Linked DNA regions of Tribolium castaneum. The protein of the gene in region 2 purifies or fractionates together with the protein of the main gene of each other region. This does not show direct contact. Links are inferred from orthologs where the notes say so. Each region holds a gene or a part of one and is shown on either strand. Other genes may lie near its edges.

Region 1 (4,494 bases), on a different chromosome or scaffold from region 2:
TTTAACATTTTGTTGTGAATTTGTAACACGTTCTGTCAATTAATGCTTCGACTAACGTAGACATTTTTATGAATTCGTAGTATTATTTAGACCGTATCGCTTTACAATTGCAGACTATACTTTACAACAATCGCCTATTGCCTGGGATAAATTTAGAAACAATTTTTTTCATTAAAATTTGAATCGAAGAGCTCTTGAAGCTTGCGGGCCCTTTTAGGCTCCGGGCCCGGGTTCCACGGAACCCCTGTGGATACGCCACTGGTGTCAACCACTCGCAAACACAACATGCTTTTCGACTAAATGCTGTGGTTTATCGGCCTATTATAACAAAATTTTGCTAAAAAACGCGATAAATCGAAAAAAACTCAATGTCTATTTATTTTGTGATTTTTACGAGTCTTTTAACAAGTTCTAGCAAAGTAAATCAGTCTGAACTTAGAAAAATATAAGACAACTTCAATTTTGATCTAATTCGGAGATGTTTCATCCATTTCTCGGTAAATTTTTCGAAAAAAAAAAAAAACTCAAGAGTTGAAGAATACTAAAGTAACACCCATTTTAGTAAAATTAGGTGACTTTTCGGTCTGTTTTTTTAAACGTGCTAAAAAAAGACAAAACGAAATAATTTTAGATTTAAATTTTTAATTTTCGGTCACTTCTAGCAAAAAAAATAGAGATTTTAGCCCTAAAACATGTCTAAATACTCAAGAAAGGCAGAAATAACGTTATTTTTGATCAGAATTTATTGTTGTAAAAAATTTTTGAGTATTAATTAATAATTGAATCTCTGGTTAAAATATTCTAATTTTTACCTACCTTTAGCAAAATTTTTCTAAAAAAAATTTAGTTAATATCTCAAAACATGTTTAAATATTCGAAAAACTCAGAATTCACACAATTTTCAGTGTGACTTGGTGAAATTTCGGTTTGTTCATTACAAAATACCATTTGGAAAAGAAAAAAGAATATTTTACTCAGCTAAATTTAGAAAATTCATAAGAAACTCCAAACACTTGCTTAGAAAATATAAAAATAACACACTTTGCGACCAAACTTTTATCTTTTAAGCTTACTATTGATGAAATTTCGCCCAAAAACGTGATAAATCGAAAAAAACTGACATCAATTCCAAATAAATCAGCCTCGAACTAAAAAATATAAAATAAAAATTTCGATATATTCGGTGAATTTTCATCCACTTTTAGGTATATTTTTTGAAAAAAACTTAATTTTTAACTCAATGAAAGTCGAAGAACACTAAAATAACACCCATTTTAGTATATGTTTTGGGTGACTTTTCGACTTGTTTTTAAGAGATTTCGCGAAAAATTTGCGTTGCTGGTGAAAAAAAAAAAAACGAAATAATTTTGGATTCAAACTGGTAATTTTTCGGTCTCAAAAAACAGGTTTTAGCTCTAAAACATGCTTAAATGCTCAAAAACAGGCAGAAATAACATTACTTTTGATTAAGATTTATTGTTGTAAAAAGTTCTTGTGCAATAAATGAATCTCTGGTTGAAATAATCACATTTTCGCGTAAATTTTTCTAAAAAAAAAACTTAGTTTTTATCTCGTGTACACAATTTTCAGGGATAATTCCTTTATTGGCTGTAAATGGAAAAGGAAAAAAAATGTTTCAGTAAATTTAGTGATTTTTACAAGAAACTAAGAATGTAAGTTCAAACACGTGTTTACTGGCTTGGAAAAAAACGAGCAAAATCGAATAAAATAAGCTAAATTAAATAAATTTCGCTTTAATTTCATGATTTTTCAGCTAGGAAGCTCAAAAGATAAGAGTAACACAATTTTATCAATAACTGTGTTTGCTTTCTGAAATATTTTCCAAAAAACTTTGGCAAGCACTTTGTTTACTTGTAAATTTATCAAAGGTTTTAAGGAATACCAACTAGGGCCTAAGGTACCAAAGTCATCTACGAGCCCCCATCATAGCCCCCATTCATAATTTACCCTTCTTATTTATGTACAATAAAAATGGTATTTTAATATAATTTTTTTGCTACAATCTTTTCCATTACGACTTGAGTCAAAAGAGGTTTTGAAATTAATAAACCTGGAAACTGTAGTTAGAACTACCTCCCTAACTTAGAAACCCAAGTATAAGCGCCACAAGTGATACCAACATGAATAATTAATTATACAAACTACAGTGTCTTAAAGAGGTGGACTGTTGTTTAATTTACCAATTAATTTAGCTCTTTGTTTGTGCAACCATTGGCCATGACAGACATCAGTTTAAATATTAGTTTTGGTGATAAAACTATCAATATTATAGTTTCCCATAATACAGAGTGAGCAGCGATAACAACCAGGAAACAGACGCAGTTTAAAGGGCCAAAAACTCACCCGCTTTCTGCACAGCTCCAAAACTATATAAATATTGTCCGTATCCTCGAAAAAACTATAAAAACCGACAATATTTTTGTGTTTCAACGACTTGTGTATCTGTATCTCCTGAGTCATTTTCTCCTTCTGGTTTTCCTTGACTATCAGCTTTTTCGAGACGACTTTCCCGGCGAACGTTTGGCTGTTGGCCACATTCGTAATTTCGTAGCATTTTGCAAATCCGCCCTAAGAAAAAACGGCCACTATCACATGAACCCATCGACAAAAACAACACTAACCTTGCCGAAGAACTGCCCCTTTTTGTACCTAATTTTCGTGTTCTCGTCGTATATATAGTCGGGAACTACGACATAATCGTCCACTTTCGACATTTTCACTAATTACTCCTAGTTTTATTCACAGTTATTGCGTTTGGTTGGGTTTTTACGGCAAGCATCCACCACGGCTTGAAAAACTTTTGGCAGTTGAGAAGATTTCAAACGCCGGCAGCTGATTGGCTGATTGGACAGGAAAATGGTGGGGAAAAAAGAATTGTCAACGGAAGTGACTACTTGCAGAACGCGATCTCTAACCACCAAACAAAAATAGACCACAATAAAATACACAAAGTGGTTTATATTGACTCAACAACTTTGGTTTGGTCGATCAAAAATTGGGCCAAACGCTGATCTTGACCGTATTTTAAATTTAGTCTATCAAAACATTGATTTATGTGTTATGCAACTCACAAAATGCTTCTGCTGAGGGCGTTGCCTAGCTAACAACCTAACAATTAATATTAAAAAAAAACTAAACAGAAATTTATACAGGACTGTAGGCCGCGCATTCAGGCAGGGCGAAGGCCTACTCCTAAAATTCTTGTTCTTCCTAGACAAATTTTATACGTTTTATAAAAATTTATAAAATATAAAATTTTAACTTTGCGTTGTCTACACTTTTTCAAAAACACCATAAACATGTACGTATTTTTATTTTTGGGGAAGTCAAAACTGCAAAGCGTCATCTGTTATGCAACATCGAATGTGTATGATTTATGAGAACACTGTTTTTTCACAAAAAAATAAATCTGGCAATTATTATTACTGCACTTGGTTTTCGAGGAAAAAAAAAGGCACACGGGAAATTTATTTTGACTTATTTTTATTAGAGTTTAATAATAAACGAGAAAATGTTTGACGAATACAAAGTGTTCTGTCTAAACTAAGTTTCGGAGTATTGAAAAAAGTACTGAAAGTTTTGATAATAACATTTATCTGAAAATTAGCCTAGAGCCATAGCTCATTGATTGAAAATATTTTCAAAATGGCGGCACTTCCGATTGTATCGAAAATCGCTATGAACTTTTTTATTAGCTTTTTCCTATTCCTAAATTTAGCTATTTTCTAAATAATCAGAATTTTTTGGAAATTTTTGGATTTGCACCTTTCACTTCAATAATCGTAAATTCTGCTATTTTTAGAATTTTAGAAACAGTATTTGGCCAATCAAAAACAAAGCCTAAATCTTTCCTTCAGTGTGTTCAAAAAAGTTTACAAAATCCAAAATCTTAACGTTATTTTTGGACAGCTTCTACATGCTATAAGTTTTTATTTCACTAAATAGAAGAAAATTTAATTCTGCAACGATCTGTGTTGGCATTTCTTATGCTTATTTGTGATAATTTTCAAGTTATGTTAATTTTTTTGACATTGCTAGCCACAGATATTTTTGCGCAGTTTGACAAAGAAACATTTCATTGAATAAACGATAAATTCTGTTCAAAATTTTGTTTTCCTTTCCGTTAAAACAAAATGAATTCATTGAATTTGGATTTGAAAAACTTTGATTCCATAATTTCATTTACCTACATCCCTACATACAATATCAACAAAAAATCCGCATGAAAACTGTTAAACAAAAGTATAGGAAAAAATGATGGCATTTCATTTGAAAATTTTTAGTTATGGGTGTTTGAAGTTCTGCAAACTTAAAAATCTTCTTAAATACTGGAGGTATTCTTTTGGGAAAAAAACTTCAAAAAAATTTGTCTTTCAATTAACCATAAAAGGATTTACATTTTTTTTAAACGACAAAGTTATGGATTTTTGAAAAGTAAAAAAAACGGCTAAATTTTGGTCTATATAGTTGTAC
Region 2 (4,545 bases):
GAGGCTAATTTTCGGTCGAAAAGCTCGCTTTGGGGGTCCAAAATCAGAAAAATTAGGTCAAAGCGCGATAAAAGAGTGTGTGGTAGTTGCACGTTTTCGATTATGGTTTTATTTTTGTTCCATTGAGATTCGGACGGGTTTGCGGCCGCGAGAATTGAAGTCCGGGCGTTTAACTGGCAGATTATTCCAGCCTTGGCTATGCTCAAAGTCTGTTGTTCCATCACCTGTAAAAACTCTGTTTAAATTTTGATCAATTGCTAAACAATTCTCAACTCGCCTCGTGCAAGACACTGCGAGTCGAGTCGTTCATTTTGTCGAACTCGTCGATACAACAGATGCCGTTGTCGGCCAAAACTAGGGCCCCCGTTTGCAGAACCAACTGTCTAGTCTCGGTGTCTTTGGTCACATAGGCTGTTAAACCAACAGCTGAGGAGCCTTTCCCTGAAGTGTACTGACTTCGGGGAACCAAATTATAAACGTATTGTAAAAGTTGTGACTTGGAGGTTCCCGGATCTCCACACAGCAAAATATTGATTTCGGACCGAAAATTCGTACGACCTGACGTAACAAATTTTTTCTTCGTTCCGCCAAACAGTTGTAAGAGAATCCCTTTTTTGACGTCGGCGTTTTCGTAAATCGACGGCGCTAAAGCGTGAGCTAGCCGTTCGTAAATATCCTCTTTTTCTGAAAGGAGTTGTAATAATTCGATCCGTTCGGGTGGAAAACGATGGTCTTTGCTGGAAGAATAAGAGGGGAAGTGAGTTATTTTTTCACTGTGGTGTTTTTACCCGTCCTCCTCTTCGTATAAGCGTTTCGTGTCGATTTTACGGAAGTGGAGGACGTCAATGTGTGTTTTGTAAACCGCGCGAAGGTTGCGTTGTCGGGGGTTCACTTGAAGGGGTTGCGCTCGGTAAATCCCCGTTACGGTGACCCTGTCGCCCGGTTGGACGGCGTCCACCAGGTCGTTGTGGGCGAAGAGGACGACGGTGTGCGGGGTTTGGCCCGCAGGCATGTCGTCTGACCAAAAACATTATAATAATAAAAAAAAATAAAAAATTGTGCTTATGATTTAACTAGAAAACGTTTTTTTTATGTAACTGTAACGTTTAGTTAAGTGGGTAAGTGTTAAGTGTGGATTAAATAGAAGATAGATAATAAAAAATCTTCAATTCTTCCCGAGGTTGGCGACAAAAATAAATTTTTTCTTATAGTTCAAACAATTTTTTTCAGTGTAAAATATAAAAAAGTTGAAATAAATTAGAAAAGAAGAAATATCATGGATGAAGATAAACTGGGATCATCTTGTAGAATGGTTAAGAATAAAAAATAAAAATAAATCCGAGGAGAAAACATAAATTAAAAAAATACCCGGGGATTCCTGCAATTTGATCATCTGTTTGTCGGTGAACTGCGACCGATTGTGGACCAAAGTAAAGCAGTGATTGGTGTTACAACTGGTGCAAAGAGTGGGTTCGGTAATGCGCCCCCTGTCAATTTCCACAGTCGTTGTAAAGTTACAAACTATACATTTGAAAAATGCCTCTCTCATCTCAGGCATTAAATTCGATGTACGGATGACCATGCCAGTGATTGTGATCAACTGATCAATATCTGTGCAAAAAAATAAAATTTTATATTAAAAGATTTTTTTTTGGAAGGAATTTAACCTTCAGGGTTCAGGGCCCTCATATTTCGTGTTTTTTCCGCATTGAAGGGCCGGACTTGAATCTGGTGCTCCAATTCAGCAGCAGGATAACGCTCGTAAAACATTTCGTTGATCATCATGTCAAAAATTGGAATGACTTCTTGAGGATACGAAACCAATTGGCGGTATAAATTGGCGTCAAAAGTCTCAATGTGAGAACAGTTGACGTTCAAAAACGGCTCTTCGAGGGTGTTTATCTACGAAAAATAATTGCTACACGATCAAGTTTGTGATCAATGATTTTGAAATTAAGTTGGCAACAGATAAAAAAGACAAATACGATTGTTTTTTTTAAATTTGTCTGACGCTTAAATCTGATAGCATTGCCAACGTAATAACAAAGTCAACGCCTCTTTGATCATGATAAGGTTCGCACCTCGTCCAATTTTTGAAAATACAAGGGTTCGTTAACATTCATATCATCAGTTCTTTCATCTTCTTCCGCATTTGGATCAATAAACCGCAAAACAAACTGTTTGAACTTCTCTTTACATTCAGCAACTGAGACATTAGTGCCCCAAATGACCAAATGCGGGGCTGTACTGCCCTCATCACCCTCAGCAACCGGATCCAACTAAAAAAATCGAGTCAAAACGAGCTCAATTTTTGAAACAGTTGTTGAACCTCTCCTCCGACATTAACTTGTCTCATCCTCCGATCAGTCCTCACATCGGGCCGCATCCTAATTGGGGTCCCCCTAATCCCCGATCTGGGGGTCCTGATGGACCCCAAAGAGCAAGGAGTCCCGTAATTAAGTGGCGAAGATAAATCAATCTCGCTCATTGCCACCGGTGGGCTTGTGACCCCAGCCGGAGACGAGGGGATTTCCCCGCCGTCGGCGTCCAAATCACGTCGGGCTCCGCCCCAACGCATTGGGGTATCAATGGTGTCGCTTTTGGCAGGAGTTGGGTTCCGTCTGGGGGTCCGAGATGGGGTTTGGGGAGGGTCCTCACGAGCTGGGGTGCGGTGACCTCGAGGGGTTTGACCCCCGGCAGGTCTGCGTCCCCGAGGAGTGGGCGCATCATCGTCGCGGTTTGCGCGAGGGGTACGATGGGGGGCTGGGGAAGACATCTAATTTGGGTTTTTAGGTGGAGTTATCGCTGATTTAATCACTTACCGTAAATAAAACAACAAAAAATGTGTTGATAATGTTTTTTTACACAATTAACCAACTGTTGTTGCTGTAAAAAAGGCGGGAAAACGCTAAGTAGTTCGTGGAAGAGGTTGCAGATGACGCGCGCTTTGTTAATAGTGGCTAAAGTTTCAACGTGGTTTTAATGATTGTTTACCCCATTGTTTGTAAAATTAAAACTTTGTAACAATGTTGATTTGTAGATAAAAATTCTGTTAAAACCGAATTTTATAAAGTTTACGTTATTACATTATTTTCAAGGCTGCTTGGAGTTGCCTTAGCTACAAAGCCGCATGCGCACAGAATTTTGTTTTAAAAATCAAGTGGCTTTATTGTTTGTTGTGAAAATTTGTTGGTGTTTGTTGCTTAAGACTTTTTTTGGTGAAAAATCGTGCAGAATTGGTGTTGGGTGTGTTCCAGATCGAGAAAAAGGTAGGTTTCACATTTTGTTATTAATTTAAGGTCAAAATTTTGATGTTCTTGTGCTTGAGCTCCCCGTATTTCTCAAATTCGGACATTGTGAAAATCTTATGCATCTTATGCACTACAGCATTTAAACCTTTCTATTAAAGATATAACAATAAAGATAGCAATATAAGGCCCCAAAATTGAATTTTTTATCATGAATTTAACCCTACATAGAAAAAATGAATGGTATGCAACCAACATTACGAACGTGTAATTCTACAGTGAACGGACTACTTACTAAGTTAATAAAATTTTATTCAGAGAAAATGATTTTTACCATTAAATAGTAAAATATCAAAATGTTATGTAATAAATTTCATCAGGCACATACCATTATTTTGCTAAAATTTGTGGAAGGTAAAAAAAATTGGTATGGGTGAAATAAAACATTGTTTTTTCAATACATTTATATTTAAATTTTCACAGATGAAATTTGATTGGATAACGAATAACCATTACACCCTTCAAATAATTACAAAAAATGTAGGTATGTAGTCGTGAACACTCGATTTAATTAAAGGTAGGTAATATTTACAAGGCAAAATAGTTATTTATATACAGTTATATACAACATGTACAAATTCTGATATAATCTCTTATACGATATATAAAAAGTCGTATTTAAGTAACAGACTTGGCATTTATTTTTGAAAAAAATGATACATCGACGTATCCTTCAGATAATTTATAATTATCACATTTATTTTCATTACCTAGGTTTATGTACAAAATATACAAAAATAACACTCGTATAAATGAAGCGAATACAAAAACTTTCAGTAGGCAAAACGCATTTGACAAAAACGGCCTATACAACAATGATTTCCTTGAAGCTAGTAACATTTTCATAAGTTTATCTTTTTTACAACCACTCGCGACGACGTACACCAGCGAATAAAAAATAAGAAACCCCACCCTCACAGCACGTAAACCTTCCAAGATATGTTAATTTTGCCAAGCGTAAATAATTCCCGGAAGAAAAAAAGTAAACCCTTTGTTCCCAGTGAATTTAGCCTGTTGGTACAATTTCGTTGGTAGATATAAGAATACTTAAAACAATTATTGGAACCCTGTCTTTGGCAGCGTTTACAGGGAAGTCACTTGTCAAACCGTGCTTTCCCGCTTGTTCACCATGAGGGGGGTGTCCACCGAGGGCTCCTCTTCCGTCGTGGCGAGGGGCTGCATGGGTATGGGGGGCTCCCGGGGCTGCGGACGCGGCCTCTGCTGCGGATGGGGGCCG
Region 3 (4,623 bases), on a different chromosome or scaffold from region 2:
CAAGCAAGGGGCCCCCACATGCACAGTAAGCATCAAAGGGCGATTCAATGTAATTTGCGCCGATTATAGCGTTTTTTGCGAAATTAAGGTTATGTAAGATTAAGGTTATGTAATAAATAAAGCCGGGTGTTTGTTAAACATATTTATTAAATAGAAACTTAATCGCTATCGGAATTGGCGTCACTTGACGCGGGTGTGCTCTCCTCGCTTTCGGATTTATTCTTCTTTTTCTTGTCTTTGGGTTTTCCGCGTTCGCTATCGGAACCCTTCCTTTTCTTGCCTTTATCATCATCACTGTCGCTACTCGAGTCGTCGTCTTCGATAAATTCCCGACTTTTGACTTGACTGGGTTTGACGGAAGGCATAGAAGAGGTTTTCTTCTTTGCTGGTGCTTTTTTCTCACTTGACTTTTTATCTTCCGATTTTGAACCCCCTGAAGCTTCATACTCCTTCATGGCCTTGTTGTACTCCTCTTTGGCTTTGGCCGCTTTCCCCTCCCACTCAGACTTATCCTTCAATTCCTTCCACATCTCTCCACCTTTCTTTGCAATTTCGGTGATTTTAATCCCGGGATTATCTGCCTTGATTTTATCCCTCATCTCATTTAACCATAGCATGAACGCCGTCGATGGTCTTTTCGGTTTATTTTCGTCCTTTGATTTCTTGGCCCGCTTTTGGCGCGGTTTCTCCGACACTGTCTTAGCCGGTTTCTTCTTTTCTTTCTTCTCCTTCTTCTCTTTTTTGTGCTTCTTCTTATGTTCATCACCGGAACCTTTCTCTTCGTCTTCGGACGACGTTGAGCTCGGACTTGAATCAAACTCTTCAGCAACGTCACTCTCATCCTGAGTTGGCTTGAAATCTTCATCAGTACTCTCATCTTCACTTGGACCATCGTCATCATCTTCATCACGTTCTTGTGCCTCGGCCTTAACCCTCTCCAAGTAGGCATCAGGGGCCGCCTCATTATCCGAATCGCCAAAATCGTCATTATAGCCCCCTTTATCCTGAAAGAACCAATCAAATTAAACCAAACCAAAACGAGTGAAATTGTTACGTTTTTGCCCCGATTTTTGATATTCAGTTTCTTGGTGGTAATGAAATCAAACAATTTGTTGTATTCTTCCTTCTCAATGCTGCTAAAGGTGTGGACAGTCCCGGATTTGAGCTCAATTTCGAAATCAAACGAACGGGTACTTCCCCCACCTCGGGCGAAATTCACAGAAGCCACTTCCTCGAAACGAATGTGAATTGGGGGCTTGTGGACGTACATGAAGCCCCGTTCAAGGGGGTACAAGTAACCAGCGGCTGCCTTGAACGAACAGCCGATAGCTGGGGTCCCTGAATGCCCGACAAAGCCCCCCGGGCCGGTCAGTTTTCGATTAATTATAACCTTCATGACTTTGCCTAAGACCTCGTAAGTGGGGCCTGATAACTCCTTATCCAGCTTGCCCTCATACTTGTCCTTGAGTTCCTCACTGGAATTATTAATTAGGAAAAAATTTTGGCCTAATAATTAATTAATTAATTACTCGGTAAAGGGTAATTCGATCGAAGTCTCCTCTTCTTGACCAAATAACAAGACCAAAAAATGATACCTGGTTTGGCCCTGTTTGATGGGTGGATCAAGACTCACTACGAAAAACATCTGCCGGTTGTCTTTGTGTGGAAGGAGAAACAAACGCAAGACTGTCGACATTGGGATTTTATAATCGAATGTTTTTCCATGCAATTGGAAAAACGTTTGGAAAATTTTAATATCGTAACGACCACTAGAAAAAAATTCTTAGGGAAATTTATTTGTGGTTTTTCAAACCAACCGTGGTGTGAGACACTGAATCTCCCGAAATATCGCAATAGCGTCGCCTGAGACACTGATAACCGAAGCCTTCTTCATGACTTGTTTTTGGAAGGCTTCAACTGGGTCCACGTCTCCGGCTAATTCGTTTGAAGGAATGAAAAATCGCATTTCCATGAGGCTTACAGGGGCGTCATCATTCTAAAATCGATTAGTTTTTGACAAAACGGCCAGAAAACGGGGAAAAAAGTTTGATTTCTAACAAAAAACGTGTAATTTCGAACGTAACAGTTAAAAACAATTTGGTGATTTTGTTATGTTTTAACGAAATTTTAAGAAAAAAGCTGAGAAACGTGTTTAAAACCTTGGTAAAAGTAAAAAGTTTGAAATAAAAATAAGCGCCCCCTTCCCACCTGATGAAACTCCATCGTGATTTCATTCTTCCCCGCCGTACATTGAGACACATGATTGAGCGGAATCTCGAAAGCGCTGTTATGTCCCACCTCGAAGCTCAAAACCGAGCCGTTGAACTTGGCTGTGCCCCAGTTCCAGCCCTTGAGACTCAACTCCTTCTCCAGCATGTCGATTTTGTAAGTGTTCGAGAAGAATTTGGCGATACGTTCCTTTTCCGCGTCCTTAAACCCGACAAATCGGTGCAAAGTGCCGTTCTTGAGGAACACGCGGATCCCCAACGAACCGGCAAAGTTCTGGAAATTGACTGCCTCGAAATCGGACGCCGAAATTGACTCGACTTTGCCCGTCTTCGAGTTTTTGAAAATGATGTTTTGGTCGGTCATTTTGAGTTTACCGCCGGTCTGAAACGAGGAAATTGAGGGGGAATTGGGGGAATGGGGGCTAACGTACCATGCAGCCTTTGACTTCGGCAGAGATGTCCGAATATTCCAGGAAATCCATCTTGGGGAAAATTCACTCAAAGTTTGGTTTAATTTACGAAAAAAACAATATAAAAACACAAAAACTTAGCTCAAGTATTTTTTGTGGTGTTTCTTTTTGTTTGGATTTTTTTTACAGGTTATGCCGCCATTTGACGCAACTTCGGCCTTGAAGTCAGGCTGCCACAACAAGCCCGCGAAACCACTAGAAATAAGTTGGCAGCGTTACGCAATTAAAAAAAATTACAAATTCAAAATTGTTATTTTATTGTAATTACAAATGTAAATTACTTAGTATTCATTGTAATAAACAAATAAACGAGAGGGCTAAATTTATTTTGTTTTATTTTTGCCCACAACCAAAAATTAGTTCTTTTCATTCTGAAACCAAAATACAACTTTTTAAATTTATGAGGTGTAATAAAATTCTGCCCGACTTGAGTTACTTTGCATAAAGCGTATTCAGTTTCAATAATAATGTCACTTGACATAAAAAATGCTCTTGTGGTCGCAAATAATCCGACTGGAAACCACAAACAGTCAAAATGAAGAAAAAGTTATTTGTGGTCGCTTTTATCTGAAAGTTTGGAAATTATCGTAAATGTTGACGCGGTTTTGGATTTTTTTTTGGAAATTCTATTAAACCAAATCAATAAAATCATGGGTGCTCAAATATTTATAAAATGGTAGGTGCGTGGACCGAAAAATATATAAAAAACGACGATATTTTAAATAATTATTAAAAAACTCCTTTCTCCGCTTTGAATGGGCAAAATCGCAGGTTGATGACTTTTTTCCTTCCGTCAATGACAGCAATACCGGAGTTGGCTGTCAAAGCCCGGCATTCACCGGATCCGCCAATCCGGTGCCGCCATTCCGGTCATATGACCCCAACTTGTTTATTTTGAGCATCAGCATCTTGATTTCAGGAGAGGCACTCGACGAGTGCAGTGGTCGTGTAAAGTGTCTCGTAATAACGCGAGTTGCTGAAAAAAAAATTCAGCGCGTTTCAGTTTTACGAACGTTTTCATTCGCTATGTAAGAAAAAAACAAAACGCGCGAATGGCAACGAGTGCTGTTTTGTGACCTGAAAAATTCTCCTCTTCCATTTGCTCGTCTTGTATGTAGTTTGGAAAATGCTGGGCGTCTTAAAGCGACGTTGGAAACCCAAAAGGTGAGATATTTTGAGAAATGGCGACCTTGACGCTTTTTAACACCTCTGTAAAAATAGACCACGAGGAGAAGGCGCGTTTGTAAATTTTTGCCAAATCTTTTATGCATGTGGATGAAAAGTAGGCCGTTTTTCCGTTTTGCAATTGTTTGGTTTATTATTGTTATTGATCCCGGTAGCCTGGCAATCCCCTCCGCGATGCTCAGCTGTTCCACTGTTGATATCTTATCGATCCGGGCAAACTAACCTCAATCTCCACCAAAAACCTATATACCACTCTTTTTCCTAGCTAATTTTTACGTTTTTGAGGAAAAAAATCCAGGAAATTCGGGTTAGAGGAAACGATAAATTGATAAAGTGATAAGATATTTGCTGAATTATAGCTAATTCGTCGAAAGTATGAGTATATTGGATGAGTCCAAAGGGTGGCTCAGTGGGAGTCTTTAAATAAAGTAGGATGAAATTTATGAGATACAAAGAAAGTAAATATTGGGGGTCATGGCGTGAAGAATGTGAATGTTGCTAAAAATAGCTCATTGAATAAAATCGACTTTTGTTAAAATTTAATTAATCATAAATGCAAGACTTGACCTGATTTTGTTGGGGATTTATTCCATTTTCGCATTGTTTTGTGCGTTTGTGTGACAGTTGGCTTTGACACTTTGACACCTTGTATTAAGTTGGCCTTGACTGTTTGACAGACAACACCCTGTATCTACCTTATTTTTATGAATTTTATGATTTATGATAGTTGATTTAAAACT

Evidence for each region. Proteins that work in one complex are often made in the same cells at the same time.
Region 1: the proteins of dpa (region 2) and polo purify together in Homo sapiens (affinity purification with mass spectrometry; 3 studies listed by BioGRID and IntAct, with this or other methods). This does not show direct contact. The link is inferred for Tribolium castaneum from reciprocal best matches to the Homo sapiens genes MCM4 and PLK1.
Region 3: the proteins of dpa (region 2) and Ssrp purify together in Homo sapiens (affinity purification with mass spectrometry; 4 studies listed by BioGRID and IntAct, counting the BioPlex papers as one, with this or other methods). This does not show direct contact. The link is inferred for Tribolium castaneum from reciprocal best matches to the Homo sapiens genes MCM4 and SSRP1.

Annotation. Positions count from the first base shown.
Region 1 is NC_087398.1:11,007,938-11,012,431, forward strand, and holds the start of polo (serine/threonine-protein kinase polo), read right to left. Parts: upstream 2,871-4,494; 5' UTR 2,736-2,870; coding exon 2,643-2,735; intron 2,590-2,642; coding exon 2,365-2,589; intron 1-2,364. UniProt on the Homo sapiens protein: Serine/threonine-protein kinase that performs several important functions throughout M phase of the cell cycle, including the regulation of centrosome maturation and spindle assembly, the removal of cohesins from chromosome arms, the inactivation of anaphase-promoting complex/cyclosome (APC/C) inhibitors, and the regulation of mitotic exit and cytokinesis.
Region 2 is NC_087396.1:22,083,787-22,088,331, forward strand, and holds the start of dpa (DNA replication licensing factor MCM4), read right to left. Parts: upstream 2,981-4,545; 5' UTR 2,823-2,980; intron 2,777-2,822; coding exon 2,330-2,776; intron 2,280-2,329; coding exon 2,082-2,279; intron 1,903-2,081; coding exon 1,668-1,902; intron 1,612-1,667; coding exon 1,369-1,611; intron 1,018-1,368; coding exon 789-1,017; intron 738-788; coding exon 278-737; intron 225-277; coding exon 1-224. Other genes in the region: side-VII (neural cell adhesion molecule 1), read right to left, coding at 4,410-4,545. UniProt on the Homo sapiens protein: Acts as a component of the MCM2-7 complex (MCM complex) which is the replicative helicase essential for 'once per cell cycle' DNA replication initiation and elongation in eukaryotic cells.
Region 3 is NC_087395.1:25,957,138-25,961,760, forward strand, and holds Ssrp (FACT complex subunit Ssrp1), read right to left. Parts: upstream 2,871-4,623; 5' UTR 2,711-2,870; coding exon 2,660-2,710; intron 2,611-2,659; coding exon 2,209-2,610; intron 1,997-2,208; coding exon 1,818-1,996; intron 1,770-1,817; coding exon 1,530-1,769; intron 1,476-1,529; coding exon 1,055-1,475; intron 1,005-1,054; coding exon 159-1,004; 3' UTR 130-158; downstream 1-129. Other genes in the region: uncharacterized protein LOC661743, read left to right, coding at 3,825-3,862. UniProt on the Homo sapiens protein: Component of the FACT complex, a general chromatin factor that acts to reorganize nucleosomes. The FACT complex is involved in multiple processes that require DNA as a template such as mRNA elongation, DNA replication and DNA repair.